Oreochromis niloticus: one gene and its partner. The protein of the gene in region 2 interacts with the protein of the main gene of each other region in a biochemical or structural test. Links are inferred from orthologs where the notes say so. Each region holds a gene or a part of one and is shown on either strand. Other genes may lie near its edges. The genes, in order: klhl20 and dapk1.

Region 1 (13,051 bases), on a different chromosome or scaffold from region 2:
ACGTGGATTAAGCATCACAAGGTGGAGGGTGGGTGGTTCCCTATTTTTTTTTTTTTTGCTGGGAGTTTTAGAACCCTATTAGTTAGGTTGCTTACTCTTTAAAATACCAGAATAGGGAGGATGGAGTAGGTTTAAGTTTATTAGATTGATCAGTATTGCTGAACTATGAAATATTTTGGGTGCAGTGTATTTTTGCATACAGGTATAACAGAATAGCTTTAGTGTTTTGTTTTGTTTTTTAACTTCAGTATCAACTTATACAAAAAGCAGCAAGATATTTAAAAAAAAAAAAAAAAACAACAACACAGTTTTATTGATAAAAAAAAAAAAAAACAACAACATCAACAACAACAACAACAACAAAAAACAAACAAACAAACAATATCGGATTCATATCGGTATCGGCAGATATCCAAATTTATGATATCGGTATCGGACATAAAAAAGTGGTACCGTGCCATCTCTAAATTTTACAGCTTCACTGCCAAATGGCTACAGCAAGAGTATGGACAGGGACTAGGAAAAAAAGCGCATATTTCTCCTATATTGGCTTCTCTTAATGGGCTTCCTTGTTAAATAAATAAATAAATAAATAAATACATACATATGAAAGCCTGCCCCTCACATACAAGGTCTTCAATAATCAGGCCCCATCTTATCTTAAAGTCCTCGTATTACCATAACACCCCCCCGAAAAAAAGGCACTTCACTCTCAAATTGCGGCCTTACTTGTGGTTCCTAGGATATTTAAAAGTAGAATGTGATGCAGAGACTTCAGCTTTCAGGCCCCTCTTCTGTGGGCCTAGCTCCTAGTTTGGATTCGGGATACAGACACCTACTTTTAAGATTAAGATTAGAACTTTACTTTTTGATAAAGATTACAGTTAGGCTTGAATTAGGTGACCCTGAATCCTCCTTTAGTTATGCTGCAATAGCCTTAAGGCACCAAGGGTGGCTTTGCTCACCACCCCACCGTCATCACACAGATGCAGTTATTTATACCCGCCACTGAGGTGCAAGAAGCCGAGGCAATATTTTCCTAAACGAAAGATGCCGCCACTCAGACAATTATTGTGTCATACGCAATGAAATAGAGGAGAATAGGTCAAAACAGGAAGCCAAGACTTTGTCAAGTGTTTTTTTTTTTGTTTTTTTTTCTCCGCAAAGTTATTTGCACAAACTCAGGCTTTCAAACAGCTGAAACTCTGCCCCCTGTGTCTGTGTGTCTCTGAGCTTCTTTGCAGGATTATCATTAAAATGCCGGTAAAAACTGGCTCGATCATAGCCGTCGCATTTCTGCCGGGGGTTTCTTCCTGTTATATGGGCTTTTTTCTCTTCCCAATGTTGACAAATGCTCACTCATAGGGGGTTGTCTGGTTGTTGGGGTTTTCTCTGTGTTATTGTAGGCTCTTTACCTTACACTATAAAGCGCCTTGAGGCGACTGTTGTTGTGATTTCATGCTATATAAATAAAATTTAATTTGAATACAGTGTCGGTCTATGGCCATCAGCTAAACCTAATATAGCAAGGTCAGTACCCTGCATATGCCTCAGCCAGTGTAAACTTATCCACACCGGTCGGTTGACTTGGTGTACCCATGCATCTTTTTAAATCCCAGGATGACTTTGGGTTTGGGATTTACTACAGCTCATGTTCCCAGTACTGGCCAAGAATTCCTAACACCTGAACGCATCCTCTTCACTTTGTGTCCTTACCATTACAGATGGGAGAAATTACATCATTGCACATACATGACCTTTGTTAAAGACATTTTGTGGATTGTATTTAATACATAATGTACAGTTTCAAATCTTAGTCAAATATCCTTTCAGTGACATATTTTCACATAATAATGTGAAAATAAAATGCAATGTAATCCAGGGCAACTCAGCGACAAGACAAAACAGCTGTGATATTTTTAAAAAAGGAACTTCATGTAGCCAGCATTCACAGGAACTGTTGGCCTGAGAATATGTTACTGAGGAGAAAAAGTCATGATACCCTGAGCCTCTGCTGCTTTCACTCAAAACATTCTGACCTTTCATTATATCATTTGAATTGCCCTAACATAGTGAAAGTACAAAATTAAAAAGCTTAAGTAGGTCTAACGTTTTAAAGACTGGAGTCAAAGTAGTGGGGTAAATGACAAGAGACATAAATGCTGCACCTATAGAGATTTTGATTTAAATTTAAACTGCTCCAGACTCTAATCAGAGGCATTCAGACAGTTTTTTTCTACTCCTGTAATTGGATGATGTCAGAGTAGGGGCCATTCCTACACGGTTAGCTTTGGCTCTGGCGACACTCCACCGAACTTATGTTTGTAAGTGGCAGCCAATCAGATCAAAGTGTCATAAATGTGGGTGGTCTTTAGAGGGCTAAAATAGCTCATTTCAGACAGAAGATGAACTGAGGGGCCGCAACAAGGCAGTATAAGATAAATAAGCATCATTTTGAACAATGACTCATACAAAGCTACTCCAGTAGCCAAAGATTACAATTATGGACCTGAAAATTGACCTAACGAGTATCCTTTAAAGCTGCTGGTTGCACAACACAGGCAACTTTTAACTATGAAGCATAAAACAATAATTAGATTCTGTCTTAGTGTTAACGTCTTAAATTAGGTCCTACCTACCCAATTACACACTGCTATTGTTGTTTTATATAACAAATGTAGAATTATAGCGTTTCATTTCACATTAATGACACTAAAACTGCCTTTACAATTTAACTTCAGGAAAATCGGGTCAGGATATTTTCTTTTCTCAGACAGAACACAGAAAGAGTTCACCTCAGTCACATATCCAACATTCTGTGTGGTTTCTGCTTGGACTGCATGAGTTCATGGCTGCAGCACATGCATGAAAAAGCTCATGTTTATAATCTGGATGGGACCTCAGCCCTTATATACTATTATATTACATTATACAAAAATGCTCATTTTGATCATTCTTCGACCACCCAAAAGAGAAAAACAAAAGAACAAAAACAATGTCCATCCCGTTTCACCTGTAATATGCACAACAGACTCCATGAACACTGTTTTTGCATAGTGGCTCTGGTGTTTCCCCTTACTGTGAAAAGTTTATTTTTAGCCAGTCTTGTTTCACAGACTCCTGCTCTGCATCGTGACACCACCTCTCTCTCCAGTGGGCCATCAAACCTAAATTTAAAAGCCCAACAAACCAGCAGAGCTAAGATCAGGACCACCAAGTGCTATGGAGAGTTCTGGGTAGAACTCCTATTGAAAACCCCCCTTTGATTCCGTAAGGCAGGGATTTTTCTGCCTTTTAAGCTTATGTGGTGACATAACAAGGTGTCAAAGAGACATGGAGGATCTTTAACTCCCCCACTGAAGGAATTTGAGGATTTTCGTGACTACAATATTTGATATGATACTGCTGCTAAAAAGAAAATTGGTAAACAGTAACCAAAGAATCTGGAATTAACAGCCACATATTTTTGCCATTCTTCCCAGAAAACTACCACACCTACCTGCGCATTGGCTTTGCATCCATGCACTGAAGAACAATGTTTGGTCCTACACTTTCAAGTTAACCTGTGAAGAAAAACAACACAAATCAGCATTTCCTGCAGTTAATCTGACCCCCACAAATATAAGATAAAAACTAGTAATTTTTTTTTATATCCGATTTATGATTCCTGCCTGCTGATGGAAAAAGAAAATTACAACCTCTTGTGACAGCAGAATAATCATTTTTCACTGTAATTTATGCCACACCACCATCCTACCTACCAAATTAACCACTTCTGTCAGCTAGACTGAGACCAAACAATCTACTGCTATCAAATTAGGATCCTGCAATAAAACCTACCTTTGTATGCGTTTTGCTGACACTATGTGTGTGCACACGAGTTCAGTGAACACATCTGCTCCATCATTAGTACACTCACGTAAAGCCTTCTCTCTGTAAATGTTCAGGAACTGGTGACTCACAATGTCTTTCCCCTTCCTTCACATCTCACTCCACTATAACAAATTCTTATAGCCTTCCTCCATCCCATCAATTATTTCCTATCAAACACTTATACATCTTATTATAGCCAGTCTTAATTTATGTTTTTTTTTTCACATCCAATAACTTTTTTGATACTCACTAAAGCATGGCTCTCTATAGGCAATCATATTCCTCTTTTCCTCTTACCTGAAGCACACCTACACCAACCCTGGCTAGTGGGGATTGCTGTCATTTTTCTTTTTAATTTAATGCATTCCATTTTACTGTGTAGTACAACTTCATTTGAACATCTTGGCTTTACCAGAAAACTCTGAAGACCCTGGAATGATTTTAATATTTTACAGACCACCTAGGCCAAACAATGTTTTATCCAAAAAATTCCCAAGTTACCATATTTTACTCCAAAATTATGATCAAATTCTTATCCTCAGTGATTTTAACATTATTAAAATTGTGTTCTAACTGGGCAACTATCAATGACCATTCTAAATTTCCCTATACGAATGAAGCATTCATTCATTTTCTTCTGCTTATCCATTTCATAAAAATCACACACTTGATTATAAAAATAAAATATCAATAGTGTAAATAAAAATAAATATCTCAGCACTGGCAGCAGCTCTCTGTCTCTCGAGTGGCACAGAATGCTAAGCTGGCTTCCACCAACTGTTGAGGAGTTAACAGACTGCTATCTATCTCCAAATATAATGCTACAAGTACCTCTCACTGTTTCAAACTTCAAACACACTGCTACCATTGCAGTGAGAGGGAAAGAGACAGCAGTACATGATTAAGCCTACTGTAATTAGTGAAGATCAGTGGACAGAAATGAGCTGAACAGCTGAAGGTAAATATCAAGATTTTAATATATAAGTAAGAAGTAAGCTAATTCATTACATAGTTTAACAGTTGCACCTTTTGTCTAAAAGCAAACCTCTTCAAAGAAAACAAACAAACAAACAAACAAAACAAAAAAAACTCCCCAGTGCCTTGATCCAAAGCTGGTGGTGGCTGGGTGTAAAGCCTGAATTAGCCATTTGCAATATTGGATTTTTAAGTAAATATATAACAGCAGTCTTTAAAATATAGTACCATTTGGGCTCTACATGATATATATGCAGGTTTCTCCATTCTGTGTGTGTTTAAACAAATAGATTTAGTCTTTAACCAAGTTTGACAGTATTATGATCAATACTGGCACTTTGGAGTGTATTAGTCCCACATAACATGTGTGTTTTCCATGTTCTTTATCTTGTAAAGTTAAAAATAAGGAGTTTAATATATTTTAATATCAAATAAGTTAATTTCTTGTGTGCAGCACCATGGCCTTGCTTCCAGCTGATGCCACTCATTCAAAACCTGGAGTCCCTCCTTCACACACACACACACACATTCTTTTTTTCCTTCTCATTTTTGTCATATGGTTACACTGAGGTGTCAAGTGTTTCAGCCAGCTGCTGCTGCACTAGATTAAATTAACCTAATCAGAAATATACATTAGATTCACCTATTCAGAGAGAAGTCAGAAAACAAGACCCCAAAATGGAAAGCGCTGTGTGGGTTCATCCAGACAGTAGCGGGCTTAGAAGGCTCATTTTAACGTCAGCTTTATTTCAAAAATATCCCCGATATCACTCCATCGGTCTACGTTAACACAAGGCAGCTCTCTGTAAGTTATTTATTTCTAGCTCTTCGCCATGTAGCTTAGCTAAGACACGCTAATTGTTGGCTGATAGCTGCCTTAGCAGTTACCAGACTAGTTGGCGATTAATAATTTCCAGTGCTGTGGTAAGAGTTGTGTTAGTATGTGACTTAGCCAAAGAGGAGATAAAAGGAGAACTGACGTCTTCCGAGGCTAAATGCGTTCCAAAAAACTGAAAATAGGGACTAGCTTCTTAACGCTACTTAACTTCCCGAGGATATGTGGGAAAGCTAGTGCTACAGCTAGCACTGAGATAGGAATTCCCTTCACAATACAAACGTTAAAACAACTTAATAATAGCAGAGACAACAAATTTAAACTATAAACGACATTCAAGAATAATCCAAAGCGTTTAGAGTATCTCTGGTCGTCAGAGATGCTGTTTTAGCATCAGCCCACAAGCCACGGATTGAATATTATAAACTGTAGTGCTAACATTAATTAAATCAGCAGTGAGCGGTATATGCTGATACTATAAGCAATGACAACTACGTAGGAAAAAAGCAAGAGTGTACGAAATGGGTTTTACCTTAGAGTTCCATCCCAACCACAGACATTAGTCAGCCAGGCTCTTAATGTTTACAGTTTTAAGCCGTCGGTTGTTTAACTCCGCAGCTTTTCTTCCTCGGTAATATGCGCATGTCAAGCGCCACTTCCTGATAATTTGCTTTCAAAATAAAAGTAGGGGATTATGTCATCGCACGTAAAGATAAATTTAAAATAAAATAAAAATGTACCTGAAATACTGTGCAAAAGTACGGAAGAGGATTAGGGCCACTGGAAAAAAAAAAAAAAAGTGGGCACGTCTTTTTTTTTTCTTCTAAAGTCAGAATTCTGAGAAAAAAGTCAGAATTCTGAGATTAAAGTTAGAATTCTGCGTTATTGTAATTTCTTTAAGTAGTCTTCAAGAATAGTTCCAAAGCTCTTCTTTGGATGCTGACTGCCTTTTGTTCTGTGCTCTGTCAGGATAATCCCTTAGTGCTTCAATAAGTTTGAGGTGATACTGTTCCGTTGTGTTTTTCTATCTGGACATACTTTTATTGCACTGGTAGTGTGTTTGAGGTCATTGGTATGCTGAAAATTGAATTCACTGCCAATCAGAAGCGTTCCACTTGGTGAATCAAAATCTGAAGGTACTTTCTGAATTAAATATTCCATCAGTTTTGACAAGATCCCCAACATGATTGACTGAAATAGAGTCTCCACCGTGATTTACAGATGCCTGTAAACAATCACTGCTGCTCCTCTCCTGACCTTCTCTGTACATACTGATGATGATTTGATCTTTTTTTTTTTTTTAAATTTTAGCTACCTTTCAAAACACTCAAGGTCACCTTACACAAAAGACAAAAACAGATAAACCCCCATATATCAGCAAAGTCATTAAAATAAGTTTACAACACAGAAACATAGGCTATGACAGCTGGAAGACAGTAAGAAGTAAGCAATAAAGAGTTGAAGCTGAAACAGGATTTGAAAGTGGTGAGAGAGTCAGAGTTACAGATGTCTAGTAGGAGGGAATTCCAGAGGTGAGGAGGAGAACTACTAGACCCCATGGTAGACAAACAGGCAGAGGAACAGTGAGCTTGAGAGAAGAATACCTGAGACTGTGAATGGGTGTGTTGAGATGCAGGAGCAATTCAATTCAATTCAATATTGAATACTGAATATATTTTTATTCATTTGGCTCCAACAACAACAGTCACCTCAAGGCACTTTACATCATTAGGCAAAGACCCTACAATAATAAAAATAAGACTCCCAAAATAGCACAACCTCCTATTATCAAACAGTGGAAAGGAAAAACTCCCTTTTAATTGGGATGGCTGTAGCTCAGGTGGTAGAGCGCTATATAAGAACCACTCTATCTCCATTTACCAACAGGAAGACACCTCTGCATGACCCAGCCTTAGGGAGGGGGAGCCATCTGCTGGGGGTGAGAGCAGGGAGATAGGACTCTGGACACATACACACACACACACACACACACACAGACATATACACATGCAGATATACACTCATCCCCCTCCCCCTCCAAATGCCTTCGACGCTTATTCCCTTCCGATGCTGACGGTGGATCATGGAGACCAGCGCATAGGCTGCAGGCCCGGATGTACTGTCTACATTGGCTGTCTCTCACCCTTTACCCACCCCTGTTGCTTGTCATGTGTTTCTTTGGTGTATTATGAGTTTTTTCATGTGCTATGTGCAGAGGTGTTTCTTTTCTGTTCTCAAACTGATCTCCCTGTTGGAGCTCAGTCTGGGGAGAGTTATTTTTTTCTCCTTATCTTTCCTCATGTTGTGCTTTTCCATGTTATACCCCTCTGACCTGTCTTCCCCATGTGATGTTTGTGTAATGTATGTATGGTCGGAGGGTAAGACGGCGCTGGCACGGCTGGCAGCCTTAAACCAATTTCCCTCAGGATGAATAAAGTACAATCAATCAATCAAAAGACAGACTGTGGAAGAGAGCCAGAAACTAATAATAATTAATGATTAGTGGACTGGTTTCAGTTATTGTGCAAATGTACTGTTTATATGGTTGGGGAAACCTGCAGTCAGCTGAGACTGAAGAAGTCACTTGGATGAGTGACAGAAGGTTTTTCCCATTGAAAACGCTACGTCCAGATGAACAAAATCAACCTTTTAGGAATTAATGATTAAATGAAAAGTGGTGTATTTCACATAGAGATCAAAAGATCACTCCATTATGTTACATTTGTTAAGGTGGATTTGATGCCACTGAGGAGTACCCTTTTTTGACACTGTTCAATATTAGAAAGTTGCAGGTGAATCTGAGTCTTGTTGTCACCAATTTTAGTCTAGTTCTTGTGTAATTTGGCTTACCTTAGCTTTTTCTCCCTACGTGTGTGTGTCTGTGTCTGTGTGTCTGTGTACGTTTTAGAATTACAAGAATTATGTATTCATCATTAGGGTTATAGTTAAACCTGTTGCTTGTATAAACAATAATTATCTACGATGGTGGCTACAAAACAATTTGAAACAATTTTAATTTAGATACATGCATCAAAAAATGGATATTAATGGGGACTGAATATTTTCCCTCTTTATCCAAGTCTTTAGACAGATGAACAAAGGCTCTTCAGTTGGGAGGTTCTTCCATTTTCACATCTAGAAATATAAATTCTAGGGAAGAAAGGCTTTTTAAAAACTTATTTTGAGATAAAATCAGAAATCTTAAAAGCTGTTTGTTTTATCTGATTTGACTAGTGACAGGGGCGGCTCTACAGAGGTGGCACTGGGTGGTATGTGCCACTCTAAAATAATCTCTTGCCACCCCTAATGTCGATGGACATGCCTCATCTCCAAATCGCACGATCAATTTAAGATTCCATAGCAACAAGCTGCAGCCATCTTGAATCTCCATTTCAACTTGTGTTGAAAGTTTGGACTTCAAACTATACACCAGTTTTTTTAATTTTATTGATAGGCCACTAAAACCAGAGTTATATTCATAAAAATATACAACATGTTTATTTCTGAATAATATCGACACGTTTAGTGTCAGATGAAACAGTAAAAACTGTGTTTTCTAAGGACAGCCCAAATAATAAGAAAAAAATACCACCCCTTTCCTATTGGTGTAAAAGTGTACCATGTTGACCAATAAAAAATGATTTGACAATGCGCGGGATTTGATTATTTAGGAAGAGGAGAAAGTTTTCAGAATGCCGGCTGTGCGAGAGAGAAAGAGAGAGCAATGTCGACAACGTTTTTGAGATGTGAGAGATTTGTGACGTTTAGCGTGTTTGGAGTGTGTAGTTAGTGTGTTGTGTTGTCTCGTGCAGTCGGTGTGTATTGTAGCCATTTGTTTTGTTTTGTGTGTCATAACAATGAAGGCAGTACTGAATGTCACAGTAGCTGCTAAAGAGCCACCAAAGTTTGATTGCAGTGTAAATGCTGTCTGTAGAAAACAGGAGGAGTGGTTCACTTCCTGCTGTCAGGCCTGCAGGGTTTAGGCCTGTGGTGTTCTCCTCTGTGCTGTGGCAAAAAAACAACAACTATTTTGCACTGGCACAAATAATTTGTGTGGCATCTTGTTTTTATTGCTATCTAATTTTATTTTGCATTTTTGCATGCATTTTTAGGTAACTAGATGTATATAACTTTATTGATTACAAAATTTGTCCATAGGTTTTTAAAATTTATAATTGATATTTGCATTTCAGGTTGTGAAAATAATTATCTGAACAGGTTTGTGGTTTTTACAGTAAAATCTTTAACTTTTTCCCTACTCTGTTTTTGTTTTTGTGTGATTTCAGATCAATTAATGCAGCATGTCAATGAAAAAATAATTTTAATTCAGACATGTGAGATTGTGCTGAAAAGAATGATTCCAAACAAGGCAAACAAGGCAAGGCAAAAAAACAAAAACAAAAAAACATGTAAAGGTGAAATGAAAAGTAGTGGAAAAAATGGCCAGTTATACCCTGGAGGCTTAACCCAATAAATCATGGAAAATTAGGTTTAAATTTTGGTGAAAAATGTTTCATGACAGTGCAGATTTCTGGCATTTTGTATTAATTTAAGCAACAATTTAATTATTTCTAAACTTTTGAAAAAGTGTGAAACTAAAGTTAGACTTGGGTTTGAACCAAATGAACCACCACATGTTGTGTAGCTTCCTGGATTTTATACTTGTTGGGCTCCATATTTATGATACAGGCTATACAGTACATAAAATCAAAATTCACATGTTTTATGTAACTTAAATGTTTAATTATCTGGGCTAAAAAAAAAAATTAAGTGATAGACTATATTTAACCCTTTCATGCATGAATTATGACAACCTCAATCAGCATTTTTTTCTTAAGTATTTTTACTCATCTTTAGGCATGAAAAAAAGATTTTTGAACTCCATTTTTTTAAACATGTAGTTTTCAAAGAGTTTTTTACATGTCCACTTAGGTGGACAACTGATGTGTATGGAGTGACACATCAGTGTCGAATGTAGTAGTTTATGTGCAAGTATACCATCAACACTGACACAAATACATGAAAACAGCCTTTGAATAGCTGTCCACTGTAGTGACCACTATGCATGAAAGGGTTAAATGAAACATGTGTGTACTCATTGTATTTGGTGTATTTTAACCATATATAATGCATATTACAGCATGTGTAAAAACATGACTTTGATTTTGCCACCCAATTTGATTTCTCTATCTGCCCCTGACTAGTGATTCTATACCTGTATTTAAAATGTCCTGATGACCACTGAAATCAATTTAAATTTACACAATGCTTCAAAATAATGGGTGGATTTTGATCAGACACAAAAAAACCTTTAAAAGGCAGAAAGTTTAGTCATGACATTGATTTTGTTAAATGGTGCAGTGAGTCCTAATTTCAGTGAAACATTGAAACATGGCAAAAGCTATATATATATATATATATATATATATATATATATATTATGTATATATGAAGTCCATTAAGGGGTTGTTGAACATTCCTGGTATATCAGTTACAGCAGTTAGCTGGTTATATTGGCTGATACTTTACAACACACACCCTTTATATAGTTTCATATTCGTTCTTCTTTACGAAAGCTCATAGTCCCAAAAAACACCGCAGTATAAAAACAACTTTGTTCCAACAGCCATCACTCAAATTAGCAAATCATAGTTTCTATATCCTACAAGAGTGCAGTGTAGACTTTTAATGGCTTTCTACATATTTGTGGTTTTGGATATGTGCATGTGAGGATGGATGACTTGTCTGCTGCAGACCAAGAATACAAGTTCAAATAAAGTAACCTAAACCTGAGTACTGTATGTCAGCTCCAATGTCCAAGTCCACTCACTCAGTGTGTACTTCATACAGAGTTTCTATTAGAATCTAGCATTCATTCATTAAACACATTTATTGTATTACTTTTTAAAAGAATATCACTACTGAGCAACAAGTGTTCATTTAATTTTAGTCAATAACACTTTCAGTGTCAGCTGGAGAATACTGACGTTTTGTTTACATTAGCTTTTTTAATATACAAAACATGTATTCTACATGTTTATCTTTGCAACAAAAAAAAAATGACTGTTAGTAGTGTAACTCAATCCTGACTTTTCTAGTAGTCATAAGACAGGAAAAAATGCATTTTAAATCCCATTCCCAGTTGCAACCTTAACAAAAACGTCACTCAAAAAAAAAAGCAAACAAGCAATTTTACATCATTTTCAAACAAAGTGCCTTATCTCATCAAATCCTTCAAATAAATTAAATTTAACACATTAACAAAAGTTTCATCTTACAAACATCAGTTTTCACATAAATTCTCATCCATTTCATTTCATGAAATTAATGCAGTAACTTGAGCTGATGAAGTGTCTGCTTACATTAGGCAGCAGTGTAAATTCAGTGCTCTTCATATGCTGGACAGTTTATGAATTTAACCCATCCAGTCCTTACGAATTCATTTTAAACCAACTCCTCTCACTCTCTATTATTTGCTCATCATCCAACCATGAAGCAATCAGTGGCTTTATTTTTCAGGCAGCACGCTGAAGCTCAGGCATGACTGACTGGCAGTTGTGTCAGTGAATGGGACATGTGTGGCTGCAGCAGAAGTGGGTCTGGAGTTTGGACTGTGGAAGTAACAAACTCAAAGTTATTCAATGATCACAGATGTCAGTAAATAAGCATGATTTCTAACAAGATCTCAGACTTTGATTTTAACAACAATAATTGATTCCCAGTACTGAAAATGGGATTCCTCCAAACTATCAGCAAGTGATGCAGAGATTACCTTTGCTCTGAGTTTGCTACGTAGATTCAAAGACTGGTCAGCATAGCAATGACCGTATTTGTGTCTTACCATCCATATAGGTCAGTGTGGTGAGGAGAGGTGCATCTGGAGAAATATAGGTGGTATACTGGAGATCATCCATCAACGGTGGAGACAGCTGACCAGGAGCAAGTGATGTCATCATGGTTGACTGCGCAGGATTTGGGTTAATGTGCTTCTTTTGACGAGCTCGGCAGTTCTGAAACCAAACCTGTATGAAAGAAGCCTGGATTAATCACTGGTCTTGGAGTGATGGTTTCCCTTAAAAGCGCAGAGATCGTTTTTTTTTTTGTTTGTTTTTTTATCAACTGTGCAAATACCCCAGATTTCTCACTATTCTCAACTTGAGGGAAAACTGGAACTTTGCAAGTTCATTATGTTACTTGCTGGCATTTTAAATTCTGGATTTAGCTCCAGATTCTAACTGTTTACATTAATCCAACAATTAGTGCAAAGCAACGCACCAAAAGCTGCACTTATGTTATGACCAGTTATGAAGAAATCTGACAGTTACTGCAAACTTTAAAATTCTTACAAAAATTGCCACCCACAGAATT
Region 2 (12,959 bases):
CACTCACACAGACACACACACACACCATCAACTGCTAAATTACTAATGAAAAACATTGACCAGGCAGCTGTGATTGAGCAGCAATGTCCATCCAACTCTTCATGGTTGTTGTAGTCGTGATAATTTTGTGAGGCCACATCGAAAAGCCTCGGATACGGAAGCGTAGAGCTGCCACCGGGGCAAAAGAAAAAAAAAAATAGAGCTATGTCACGTTATAACATGAAAGGTTTATTGTTCTAACAATATACTTTTAATGTTTGTACAATATACCTTTCATGTTTGAACAATATAATATCACGTTATTGCAATATACATAATTATCACATTCGTACAATATAAATATTATATTGTTTAAACGTGAAAGGTATGTTGTTAGAACAATAAACTGTTTACGTTATAACGTGATATAGCTCTATTTTTCTTTTGCCCCGGTGGCGGCTCTACGCTTGCGTACTCGGATGAGCCTCATCCTACAAGTTGTGCCTCCATCTCTTGTGTCCAGATCACACGCTGCGCTGCCGTGCCGCTCCACCTTTTCTTTCATTTCTGTGTTTGTGCTGCGCAGTGTGAGAGGCGACAGGATTTCAAACTGGTTTGATTATCATGCGACCATACAATTAATGATTGGGAGCTGGTCGTGAGGTGTTAACTGCTTATCGTTACCCCATGTATACTACACGATGCACACACGATTAAGGCAAAACACGGCCGATCCCCAAAACGGTTGCGCGACTGAAAAATCTGCTCAAAATGGGCCAAATCGCACTGTGTATGGGCAGCTTTTGGAGGCTTCCTCCAAACAAACATCTGCAGCTTGGCAGTGTATACAGCACTATAATGACCAGACCTAATTCTTTTGAAAACCTTACATCTTTCCACAGGTCTCCACTTCATCAGACATCACCTAGACACAGAGCTGGATGAGACCAGCACAAACAGCAGCCTAACCGACGAAGATGATGGATCCATGGGGTGAGGAAAGCCAGAAGCAGAGGAACTGGAGAGATACCTTTCACTGTCCAATCACTGGAGGTGTGGATGTATTGCATGGCTTTCCTCAGATCAAGAAGCTGTGGATCAAAGACTTTAGTCACGCAGGACTCCTGTTCACTGCTAAACGGTCGCAGCTTCACAGCAAGAACCTTGAGAGCCTCCATCTCAAGCTGAAGCACCATTTCACTGACTGAAGAAACAATTTATGGTAAAGTGAGCCATACACATATGTACATCCACATAGTGGGAATTTGTATGTGTCTTTTATAATTAGTTTTACTCTGATTTCAGTGTTTATTTGTGAGTGTAGTTTTTACATTTTTACATATTACATTGTGCTAATCCACTGTCTATACTTCAGGGTTTTTTAGTATACAAAATAAGTTTTGTTAGAATGTCTATTCTTGTGGAATTTTAGCACAGATGTTTTTTTTTGTTTTTTTTAATTCCTGCTGTCCGCCTTGGGAATAAACTTTTCCTGATTATACCTGTTGCATCTGTGTCATTTGTTTCTGATTTACTTAATCCCTCCTTCTATTTAAAAAAAAAAAAAAAAAAAAAACACAACACACCCCCAGTATGACATTCTGGCGCATCAGCTGTAGTCTGTTATGTTGAAGCTGCCTCGTTCTAATGTTTTCTCTGAGGCTGCTGTAAATGCGAATATATTCACTGTGGGTTTTGCTTGAAAAAGCTTTACGTTGTGAAAAACTGAAATCTTGAAATTAGAATTGTTGTGCCTTATTTTGTGGATCTTTTTACATATATTCCTTTTGAAAATACTAAAATTTGTATATTTATTTATTTTTGATTGTCTGATAGCATTTATTTATAAAATAAATCAGACATTTCAAACAGTTACTCGCTACTTACTCAGTACTTGAGTAGCCATTTCACCAAGTACTTTTTTACTCTTACTCGAGTAACTTTGACGACTACTTTTTACTTGAGTAATAATATTTTAAAGTAATGATACTCTTACTTGAGTACATTTTTTGGATACTCGACCCACCTCTGATCCCAGGATGAACCTAAATGAGACCCCTTGAGAATAAGTTCCATTAATAGCCAATGCAGGGATGCAGATGTTCCACGTCTTTCTGTTTCCAGCAGCCTCCAGGTTTTTAACACACTAACATAGAAAGGTGACAAACAGTTCACACCATACCTTGAGTGATCAAAAACAAAGTTTTACCAAACCCCAAATTACCAACTTTAGAAAATAAACAGTCTGTAACTTGCCTCCACAAAACATTTTGATCCCCATACAAAAAAAACTGTAAAAACTGTAATCTGAAAGCTGCTTTCCTACTTTCTAAATGAATCAAACCCCGCCCCCCTTCTTCCTTTGGCAAAAACAAAACACTTTGATGAACCCAATGCAGTCTGTCCCAAAAAAAAAGTTTAAAATAATAGTCTGTCATTTCCAGTGTTGGGTAAGTTACTTTAAATTAGTAACTTACTTACATTACTAATTACTTCTATCAAAAGTAACTCAGTTACTTCAAGTTACTCGTTACTTTCAGAGTAACTAGTTATTAGGGAAAGAAACTTTAGTTTTACTCAGAATTCTCTTGTTAATGTGTTGCTTCCGTAACTGGATACCCAGCAAGATTGTCAGTCTTCTAGCTTGCTTACTTGCCACAAGTGCACTGTGCCACCTACCAATAGAAAGGAAAAAATAATGCGCACATTTCCACGTGTTACGACCCGGCTCATAGCCGCAACATAAAAAAAGATGAATACCAGATTGTGGGATGAGAAGAGGCTTTATCTTAAAATGGACAACCAGGTCGGCTAAAAATGACTGGTGCCACTAAGGCAAACACAACAAAAGAGATGGACAAAATGGTGAACTGAGAACTAAACTATACTGGGAAGACTAAACTACTGACCCTGAACAGAGACACAAACCTGAACACGAATAACAGCGAGCAGAAAACAGATGACGGTTGGGCAGCAGGGAAACACACGGATGAGACACGGTGGATACACAGACGGACCAGCCAAAATACAAAGACAGAGGACGCGACTTAAATACACACAGGGAAACACAGGGAGATTACACACAGGTGGGGAACACAGCTGGGAACAATCAACAAGACGAGACAGAGGTAAAACTGAACATACTCACATGAGACGCAGACCTTCACAATAAAACAGGAAACGAGAACAAATCCTTAAACATAACATAAAACAAAACACTGACAACATTAAATCATAACACACGAGAGAAATCCCACGCCTGGACCGTCGTTGACCGCCGCATGATTCTAGCCTGCTTTTTACATCCAACACAAAAACTGCAGTCGTGGTGCTTTTGATTGTACTCAGAACTTGGAAATTCTGCCTTCTGAATAGGAAGATGTAGGTAACACCAGACTGCAGATGAGCTGCATACAGAGCTGGACTGGGACAAAAAAATCGTCCCAGGGAATTTGACTAGAGACCGGCCCACCATTATAGGAAAAATCATAAAGCCTTTGAATGAAAACAAACGCTGTTGTGACAGTGATGTACACTGTTCTGATGGTATATATGTATCAATCTATCAATTGTTTGTTGTAAGACTCAGATAATTATTTATTAAATGCTAGACATTTTAAATGAGAATAAGAAAGAAAAGTATTTCTTTGTCCCCCCCTTTCCCTGTTAATGCCCTACCTGCCCCCCTGGCAACACTTTGCTAGATCCGCCCCTGCACAGTTACCAGCTGTCTGCTACGTAGAAAAGGATCCTGGTGTTATTTGTCTCTCAGAAACAGCTCATAACTTCCCTTCAGCTCATCCATGTCACCTAAAAGGTAGCACCCCAGAAGAGGCACCCACACAGCTGTATAAAAACAAGTACCCAGCACGAAAAAGTCAGCATAATGAAAATAAACTCCACCTAAACTTGGTTTATATCTGACCCAGATAGACTGCAGGTCATAACTTCTTACCTGAAGTTCAGTTCACCTGACACTCGGACCGGCGGCCGCTTCGGGTCTCTCCTCTTGCCTCCCTTTTCCTTCATCACCTGCTGGCCTCCACCACTTGCTAATGTTACTGAATCTGTGGAAGCGCCGCGATATCCACCACACGAAGTAACAAATAACGAGCCTATCTAAATCCCAGTAACGAGTAACGCGTTCCGGATTTTAGCATAATAACTAGTTACCGTGCTCGTTACCACAATAATAACGTAGTTACTGTAACGTGTTACTTAATAACGCGTTAGTCCCAACACTGGAATTCACAATGCATTTTTGGGACTTTCAGGTGTTTGAACCAATGTTTTCTTTTCTGATCAAACCAGAAATCTTTAATGAGCAGCTGGATTTGTCTCACATTAACTGGCTGAGTTAATGCCAGTTAATGCAACATCGAAGTAGCTGGAATCCATAGCTGTGCGTGTTCATGGAGCTGCATTTTCACCTGCTGGACATCACTGCCTGACAAGTTTAACTGTCTTCAGAACATTGCAGAGGCCTTATTGACAGTATTTGGCTCTAATATCTGTGTGAGCAGATTTTCTCTCACATGAGTGTCCTCAGGTAGCCGTCTGAACGCTGGACACTCGGAGACCTGTGTCTCTGAGTGGGAGACCAGTGATCACATTAACATGTGTATCCCTGTATTAACAAACATGCCATATTGGCCCAGTTTATTTTTCTTATCATTGTTGTGAGGAGACCATAAATAGCATTTGTATTTTCTGTTGTACAGTTCATTTGCTGTTATGGATAAAAAGTGTCTTTTTTTTGTTTCAAAATAGCTGATAATAGCTGCCAACATCTGCGAACAAATATAATTGTATAAAGTTGTTCTATATAGTGTGTAACTATTAATATAAAGCGTTAATAAATTTATTGCTAATGCAATCATATGGCACACTGACTTCTGAGGAAATTTTAGATGGCACTCGCCATCAGAAAGGTTGCCTACGCCTGCCCTAGAGTATTTAAAAGTAGAATGGGAGGCAGAGCCTTCAGTTTTCAGGCCCCTCTTCTGTGGAACCAGCTTCCAGTTTGGATTCAGGAGACAGACACTATCTCTACTTTCAAGATTAGGCTTCAAACTTTCCTTTTTGCTAAAGCATATAGTTAGGGCTGGACCAGGTGACCCTGAATCCTCCCTTAGTTATGCTGCAATAGACGTAGGCTGCCAGGGATTCCCATGATGCATTGAGTTTTTCCTTTCCAGTCACCTTTCTCACTCACTATGTGTTAATAGACCTCTCTGCATCGAATCATATCTGTTATTAATCTCTGTCTCTCTTCCACAGCATGTCTTTATCCTGTCTTCCTTCTCTCACCCCAGCCAATCACAGCAGATGGCCCCGCCCCTCCCTGAGCCTGGTTCTGCCGGAGGTTTCTTCCTGTTAAAAGGGAGTTTTTCCTTCCCACTGTCGCCAAAGTGCTTGCTCATAGGGGGCCATTTCTCTGTATATATTATTGTAGGGTCTACCTTACAATATAAAGCACCGTAAGCAACTGTTGTTGTGATTTGGTGCTGTATAAATAAAACTAAATTGAAAGTGAAAGAGTAGCAACTATCCCAAAGGAAAGAATGAAAAAGAAGATCGTCAGACAGATGACTTTGGTATTAATTCAGTGTATTTGATCACTTTGCTCAGTTATCATTGAATGATGTTTACTTGCCACTGTGGTGAAACAACCTCAGAAACAAATTATAACTCAGACATGCGCGTGCATGTGGGCTCCCCCCAGCGCTCAGCTCCCTGGAAAAACACCACAACACCCTCTGAGTGCTTCCTGTCCCACAGCAGTGTCTTCATGTCCTTGGAGGTTCCTGTTGGTGCTGTGGTCCTGGATACAAACCTCCGGATTGGCTGAGGTGTTTCTATGTGCAGTTTGCCAGGTCTGCCTGTGCCAGTCCTTATGTTGTTGGTCTGATGCTCTTACACTGAAGATAACAAACTCATTCACGTACAGTAATGTGATGATAAACTGCAGTCATAGTTTTGTCTTGATTTTAAACAACAATTTTCAGATATTTTTTTCAGTTTTTATTGCTAACATTGAAGTGTAATCTCTGTACTTGGTTTTAGTTCTTATTGGGTGTAGTTTGCCATTGTGGCCACCAGATGGCGCACACTGCTTGTTTAAAGTGAGTGAAAATAAAGCAGTTTTTGCTCCTCACTTAAATACTTTGGACAGAGAGACTTATTCCAGTGTACAAACACTCAGTTTAAACACTTGGTGTATTTTCTATCTTCTGTTATCAGTTAAATCTGAGTTTCGCAAATCATTGAATTTTTTTTTTTTACGCTTGTGTCCTAACTTGTATGAAATCTCTGACAAAGCACTAAAACCTGCTTTGGGTTAAGAGCATAATATTACTATTAAGCTGTCACATCACTGTTATTCTGGTGTTAATAGGGGCTGATGGAAATGTCAGAGGTGGAAAAGCCAAAAGATAAACAAAGTTAGCAGACTTTGTGTTTCCTCTCAGGGTGGTAATCTGTTTAATACTGGCTGATAATCCAATCCAACCATTTGGTGCACCAACGACATCATCTTCTTCAAAACTCTTCATCTGTCCCTCTGGCTGCAAACTGTGACAACAGGAGTCGTTTAATTTTCCTCTTTTCAGCCCAAACGTTCCTCTGCTGCTTTAATCATCTCACAGTTTATTTGGTTGAGATGCTTGACTAAAAATAAATAAATAATATTTTTAAATATTAGCTTTTTAAATCTATATATTCGAAGATCAGCTGCTGAGAAAAGACCTGCAGCTGTGATCAGCTGTAAACATTGGCTTTGGTTGAAAATGCAAAATATGAATCAGGCATGAAGACGCCCAGAGAGTGAAAGGTCAGCAGAGACTTTCTGCTTTAATCTATAAAGTTTGTTTCCTTGTTAATCATCCAGAGTGTAAACTGCCTTTTTACCATCTGGGCATAAGGGATTAGTGAGTTATTCATTTATTCTTATACATCACGTCTTTAAGAGAAGTTTTTTACTGAAAAACACCAAAATCAGGCTCATACTACAGTGTTTAGAACTTTCTTCACAGACTGACAGTTAAATATCATCTTTTTAATCTCATATTGCATTTTACTTTAGATACTGGTCATATGTTTATTCTTCTCTCTCTTAAATAAACATAAATACATGCAAAAGCTACAGTTTTACATGTTTTAGTTCCAAAACACAAAAACCAGCTTGTTGGTTTCAAGTGGAGCTGCAGTTAAACCAACAGTTCTTTCTTCAGTCTGCATTCACAAACCCCAGAAGGTATTTAAAAAGCACAAGGAGCAGTATTTATATTTGAATATGCAGTGTATTGTCTGTCCAGACATCTGAGACCACATAGAAAATCATTCAAATTTAATAAAACATTAAAGTCATCAGACAGTGTTAGAAACATTCAAACCTTGTAAGATGGACATGAAGTTCTTCTGATTCTGAGAATCTCAGCAGTCACGTCTCTGCCTCAGCTGCACCCAGAGGACACTTTGATCCACTCACCAGAGACTTTATCAATCCTCAGTCTTTATTCTCCCAGCAGAAAATTGATTCATCAGAAAGCATTGAACAGGAGCTCAGCATCAGGTCGCGGCTTGAGGTACGAGGCTCTTTTAAAATCTTTCGATGGGGCTGGAAACAAACTTGTGCCGTCCATGCTCCCTGAGTGCTGATGTTTTGGTTTCCACTCTATAAAAATATTCTTATTTACCATAATAACAACAAATATCATGATGTTGAACCAGCTGACAAATGTATCATGTGCTTTTTAGAGAAATGTAGTTCTGCCTCATACAGTTAGCATGCTTTAACTAGATTCCTTTTTATTACTGTATTACAGAGACATGTAAGCATAACTATTCGCTCTTTAATTGTAAAAAGACTTGAGGTGAGGAAAAACAATAAATAACAGCTTTGGCCCTAAAATGTGATACATAACAGCTGACAGATGTAAATTTGTTGCAATACTGACAAAAAGTCTGGATTTTGCTACTTTTACTCTAAACAATTATTAAAACATTAAAGGGAGTAAAATAAACAGATTAACATAAAACGTTTGAATTACATAAAAACGTGTTTTTTGCACAAATTCTCAGCTTCTGTGATTCAAAGTGAAGGTTTGCTGCCCTCCTGCGACTGAAGGAGCTCACACACCTGCGCTGCCTTCAAGACACGTAGAAACTCGGACATCTCAGCTACGTTTTCCTAGCAATTCGGCTGACAAACACCCGCCGATTATAGTGACGTTTAGTAAAATCACTATTTATATTTTTCCTTTGATCTCTTGACCTCATCGTTGTTCTTTTAACGGTAAAACGTGAAATACACACAGAGTGTCCTCCGGTCGCTCCAAGTCTCCGATCTCCATTTCAACCCCAGCCCGTGAACGCAGCACCAGGACCAGCCTGCCTCACATTGTTAACGTTGATTTCTCCCGTTCAAAGCAGCATTTTGTCTTCCGTGAGCCGAACCTGGATCACAGCCTCCCACTAACCGCATGAAATCTCGGCTTCGTCAGGCAGCGGGACACGGACACCGGCACACGGTAAGACCCCCACGGAGTAATCTGTAAACCCTCCGTTTCCCGGTGAGAAATCATTCCAGCTAAGGTTCATATCTCAGACTCCGGAGGAATAAAACGTTACCGGGGCGAGCCGTGCTGTTACTGCGGGGGGAGCTGAGGGGTCTGGTGGTTAAAGTAGTTGTTTTTTTGGGGGGGGGGGCACTTTGTCACGCACGGTTAAACCGGGTCAGACACCTGTGCGGGTCCTGACGGCTCGTTATTCTGACTTTCCTCAGCGGTCATTTTCCTCACCGGGCTGAAAGCAGCAGCAGCGGGAGGTTAGCGTGTTTCCCATGGCTACACCAAGCGTCCACACGGGGGTTATTTGCATTCCTCTCCAGCCTGTGGCGACACACACACGCATGCGTTATTATTATCTTTAAAATTGGCAGCCTGATAACTGAGCCGGGAGTCCGGGAGAAGAGCGGCCAGGTCAGCTCCGGGAGTCGTGACGTCGCCGGAGCTGCAGGTTCACCGCTCCGTCACTTTGGGCTCCTTTTGTTGACTGCACGCCCACCTTTCCCGCAGCTGCACGGTTTCATAATCTAATGCTCTCGTTTCTTCTGCCCTCCTCCTGTTGATCTCCTCTCCGTGTGGAAGCCCGAGCATGAGGAGGATCGGTGGCCGTTACCCTGCCCAGACCGGCGGCTGCTGGTAGGGATGGTGTCGCTGTGAAGAGCCGGTGTGACGAGCCTGTGGTCGGGGAAGAAGTGCCTGGACAACATGACTGTTTTCAACCCGGAAAATGTGGAGGAATTTTATGACATCGGGGACGAGCTGGGGAGGTGAGTCCACACCGAGCTTCTTTCTAATGCGCATCAACTTCCCCTTTCTCTGCCCGGGGCGGGGGGATGCTGGGAAAAGACCTTATTTTATTTAGATAATAAATGTTTCAAAGTTTATTAGCCCATCTGTGCAGAGCTGTGGTCCACGCGTGTCTGAATCCCCCCACTGTGAGTGTGATAAGCTGTGATTAATGCAGTCCATAATGCTTTGTCGTCAGTGATGAAGAGTTGCTGTGTCTTCCTGGGTTTTATTGCAGGAGGAGGCTGATGTAGATCTTTACAGGGAGGTGTCCATCCTGGTTGTCACTCCGTGTGTGATTGGTCAAAGGTGGATGCTGATAATCAGGGTGAAGAAGCTGACTGTGTATGAAACGCTGTGACAGAGCTGGACCTGAGTTTGGTTTGCAGGGATGCTCGAATGTGGCAGATGATTCCAAACATAACGTGTTTGTTGACTGGAGCAAACGGCCGACCTGGCTTTATCTTCCTCATCGAGCGAAAATCTCTCGTACCGTCATCTTTGCTCGAGCTGAGCTGACAAAACCAGTCAGGGAGGGAGTTTGTTTGGGCGGTTAGAGAAGAGCGAGGACGTGCAGCAGCACAGTGTTTATCTGGATGATGTTTTTAAGCCTTCATTGTAACCAAATGAAGGATGGATGGATGGAACAGCTTCACAAATGTTGTTTTTTAAGCACAAGTTAGTTTAAGTGAAAGCAGATTAGTCACATGAAGGCTGTCCTGTTTTCACTGTGACTTTATTGCTGATTCGGTAAAAAAAAAAAAATGTCATTACGTAATAATAAAGGCAGAAATGATACAGCCAAGATGCATTCCAGCTCCCAGATGTGAGTCACAGCTGTGGAAGTGGATCTCTGAGTTTGTGGTTATGAAACGTTGGTAATAATCAGCCAGCTGTTTTCTGCTCCTCGGCCTTTGTAACGTTGCTGATTCTGTGTCGTGTTCACCTTCCTGCTCTCTGAGGAAAGCCTGCGCTTGCTGCAGCTGCTGTAGTAACAGAGACGATCGGGGAGCTGTGTGTAATGGGATTGAGTTTCTGGCCTGAGGTAAAGTAGACGGCTACGTGAGCGTGATAGTCTCGATTGGCTGTTGCTCCAACGCCGGGATCCGCTCTCTGTTGAGGATGGATGGGGAGAATAGAGAGCACGTCGTCCACCATCATTATTGAATCATCCTAAATATTCCAACATCTGGAGTGTTGGGATAGAAAATATTTGCTCAATCAGTCCTGTCATTCATGCATGCTGTTTGTTGGAGAGCTCTCCAGCAGCAAGGACTCAGAAATGAGTGTCTGTGGGAAACTTATTTTGCATGGGCACAAAGAGACATGCACCATGTGTGCAGCCTGAACTAGACTTGTTCTTCTTTCTGCTGCGTCTTTTATGGGTGAGGTTAGTGTTACTTCTCCTCTCATCAGTCACTCAGAATCTGATGTATCTGAGTCCGGTGACGTCCTGCAGCGTCCTCAGGCGTCTCCTTGCTGCCGCGTCACGTTTTAATGATCTTTCCCATAGATGCTGCACACAGGTGGTCTTATGTAACACTCGGGCGCACTGATCAGCAGCACTCCCAAACTGGGCCTGACACCTCTGCATTAGCAGCCCACGTGTGTTGAAACGAGGCAAAAGGAGACATTTTTGTGCAGTTAAGCGTGCTCGCTGTGTCTGAATTGGAACACTTGTACTGTACAAACAGACGAGCTGCACAGGAAGAAGAAATCAGAGGTTTTGGATGAAAATGCAGAAACCACACTGACTGTGCAGTCGTTATATATTTGTGTTGGTACTGGATGAACTTTAGGATAAACCAGAGTCTGTTAATGATGAAAGCTGGTGAGTCTTTCACTGTAAAGCCCAACATGCCTGCAGACTGAGGGACTTTTGATCCGACTGTACTCCAGGCCTGCCGCTGGCTGCACTTGGATCAAGGCCCATTCTGTTTGGCAAAATGGGAAAATGGGAATTCACCCAAGCGGTGATTCTATCCTGTCACTGACACCGACACTGGCTGCTTAAGAGTTTATGCATGGAGGACCTGATGCCCGGTGAAGCCGAGCATCATGCATGAGCATCTATGCGCAGCGAGCGCGCAGGAACAAACCCAAAGCATACACGTTAGCAGCGTGATCTTATATAATGCTGTCTATAAATGTTGCATTATTGCTGAAGCTCTCAGGTCTGTTCAGAATCACTGCCTCATCTTGATTTTTATCACCTCTGTGATCGGTGTGCCATTGCTCGCCCAGTTTTTCCAGCCTTTCAGAACAAAACCTGGAAAACTGGAAATGTTAGACGTGCCTAATAAAGTGTCAGTCAGAGAAACGATTGTGAAACTGCAGGTCAGCCGTTGAAGCTCCGGGCAAAGCATCAAGTCGTTGCTTGCGGAGCCGCACTTTAAAAAGTGTGATGTGTCTGCACAATGTGCATCAAATTCATCCTTTGAGTTTTCCCCAAAAACAAAAGTGCAGCGTGGAGCCCGGCTGGGTTCAGTTTAAAGGCCTCCTGACAGAAGTTGGCCTTTCATTTCAAAATAAAGCACCGACCACATCTGTGCTCAGCTGATCTCTGTAACTGCTTCACAGAAAAGTCTCACTTCACGCCTCAGATCAGTAAGATTGTTGAAGACGTCGTAGTTTGCAGCATCTCAAAGGGTCTGTTGTTTGACGCCTCCTCAGTGTGATGCTCAAGTGTCGGGTGAAGCACCGCTGCGGTGTTTTAATGGTGATGTGTGGGGATGTTAGACTGCAGAGACACAAGCATTCAGGCTCAGAGCTTCTGTCGCTGCAGGGCTTTTTTTACCCCATCAAACCTTTTAGTTTGTCCAGTTAGATCAGCAGAAATAGAAAAAGCTGTAATTGCTTCCATTATCAGTGCCTCTGCAGTGCATTATGGGTTGTGCGTGACAGCCAGCGCGTGTGTTTTCTTAATTAAATGATTAAATAACAGTGTTTATGTGGTGCTCCTCTGCAGAGGCCTCAGTTAGAGGTGCTTTATGACACATAATACAATCAGCTGTCCAGGCAGTGAGTTCCTCGCCTCGTCCATGGACTTCAGCTGCACCTCCTTGGACTGGTCCCCAGTGCAGCGGGACTTTAACCAGTTATCCACCTGCTGCAGGTGCTGGTTAGAAATCTCCAAACTAGAAGGCTCCAACTGCAGGGCGACACTCGCTGGAGAGGCAGCTGAATGAAATGCAGCTCTGACCTACGCAGGGAGAAAGCTGGAGATGATGCATGACTCCAGACGGGACGTAAGACAGATGGGAAATCACCGTCAGTGGCAGACGACGCTGGCCGGCTGATATCTGATCTCTGAGTTGATGCCAGTACTGCTCTAGAATAACAGTAAACCTCTGTGTAGGTCTAAGCAGAGCATGCGGTCATGCTGCATGCAGCAAGCCTGCATGAAGAGACGGGCACAGCTTGCACTCCGGTCATGTGAGTCGAGTTCTGCTTTCTTATTTTTTTTGTATTCGTTTATTTCTTTTGCGGCGGGAGATTCAGGGCTGTCACGTGTTTAGAGATACGCTGACTCAGCCTTTCTTTCCTGATTGAGAGAGAAAAATGACACGAGCCCACTCCCACTGTGGAATCCATTTGCTGTGTGCTTTTCATCAGGTCCACGTGGCA

The links.
Region 1: the proteins of dapk1 (region 2) and klhl20 are reported together in a solved structure, tested with the Homo sapiens proteins (2 studies listed by BioGRID and IntAct, with this or other methods). The link is inferred for Oreochromis niloticus from reciprocal best matches to the Homo sapiens genes DAPK1 and KLHL20.

Annotation. Positions count from the first base shown.
Region 1 is NC_031982.2:2,797,079-2,810,129, reverse strand, and holds the start of klhl20 (kelch-like protein 20), read right to left. Parts: upstream 6,353-13,051; 5' UTR 6,216-6,352; intron 3,564-6,215; 5' UTR 3,523-3,563; coding exon 3,500-3,522; intron 1-3,499. Other genes in the region: LIM/homeobox protein Lhx8, read right to left, coding at 12,218-12,294, 12,525-12,705. UniProt on the Homo sapiens protein: Substrate-specific adapter of a BCR (BTB-CUL3-RBX1) E3 ubiquitin-protein ligase complex involved in interferon response and anterograde Golgi to endosome transport.
Region 2 is NC_031977.2:36,008,197-36,021,155, reverse strand, and holds the start of dapk1 (death-associated protein kinase 1), read left to right. Parts: upstream 1-7,440; 5' UTR 7,441-8,510; intron 8,511-8,570; exon of another isoform or gene 8,571-8,997; intron 8,998-9,128; 5' UTR 9,129-9,251; coding exon 9,252-9,313; intron 9,314-12,959. UniProt on the Homo sapiens protein: Calcium/calmodulin-dependent serine/threonine kinase involved in multiple cellular signaling pathways that trigger cell survival, apoptosis, and autophagy.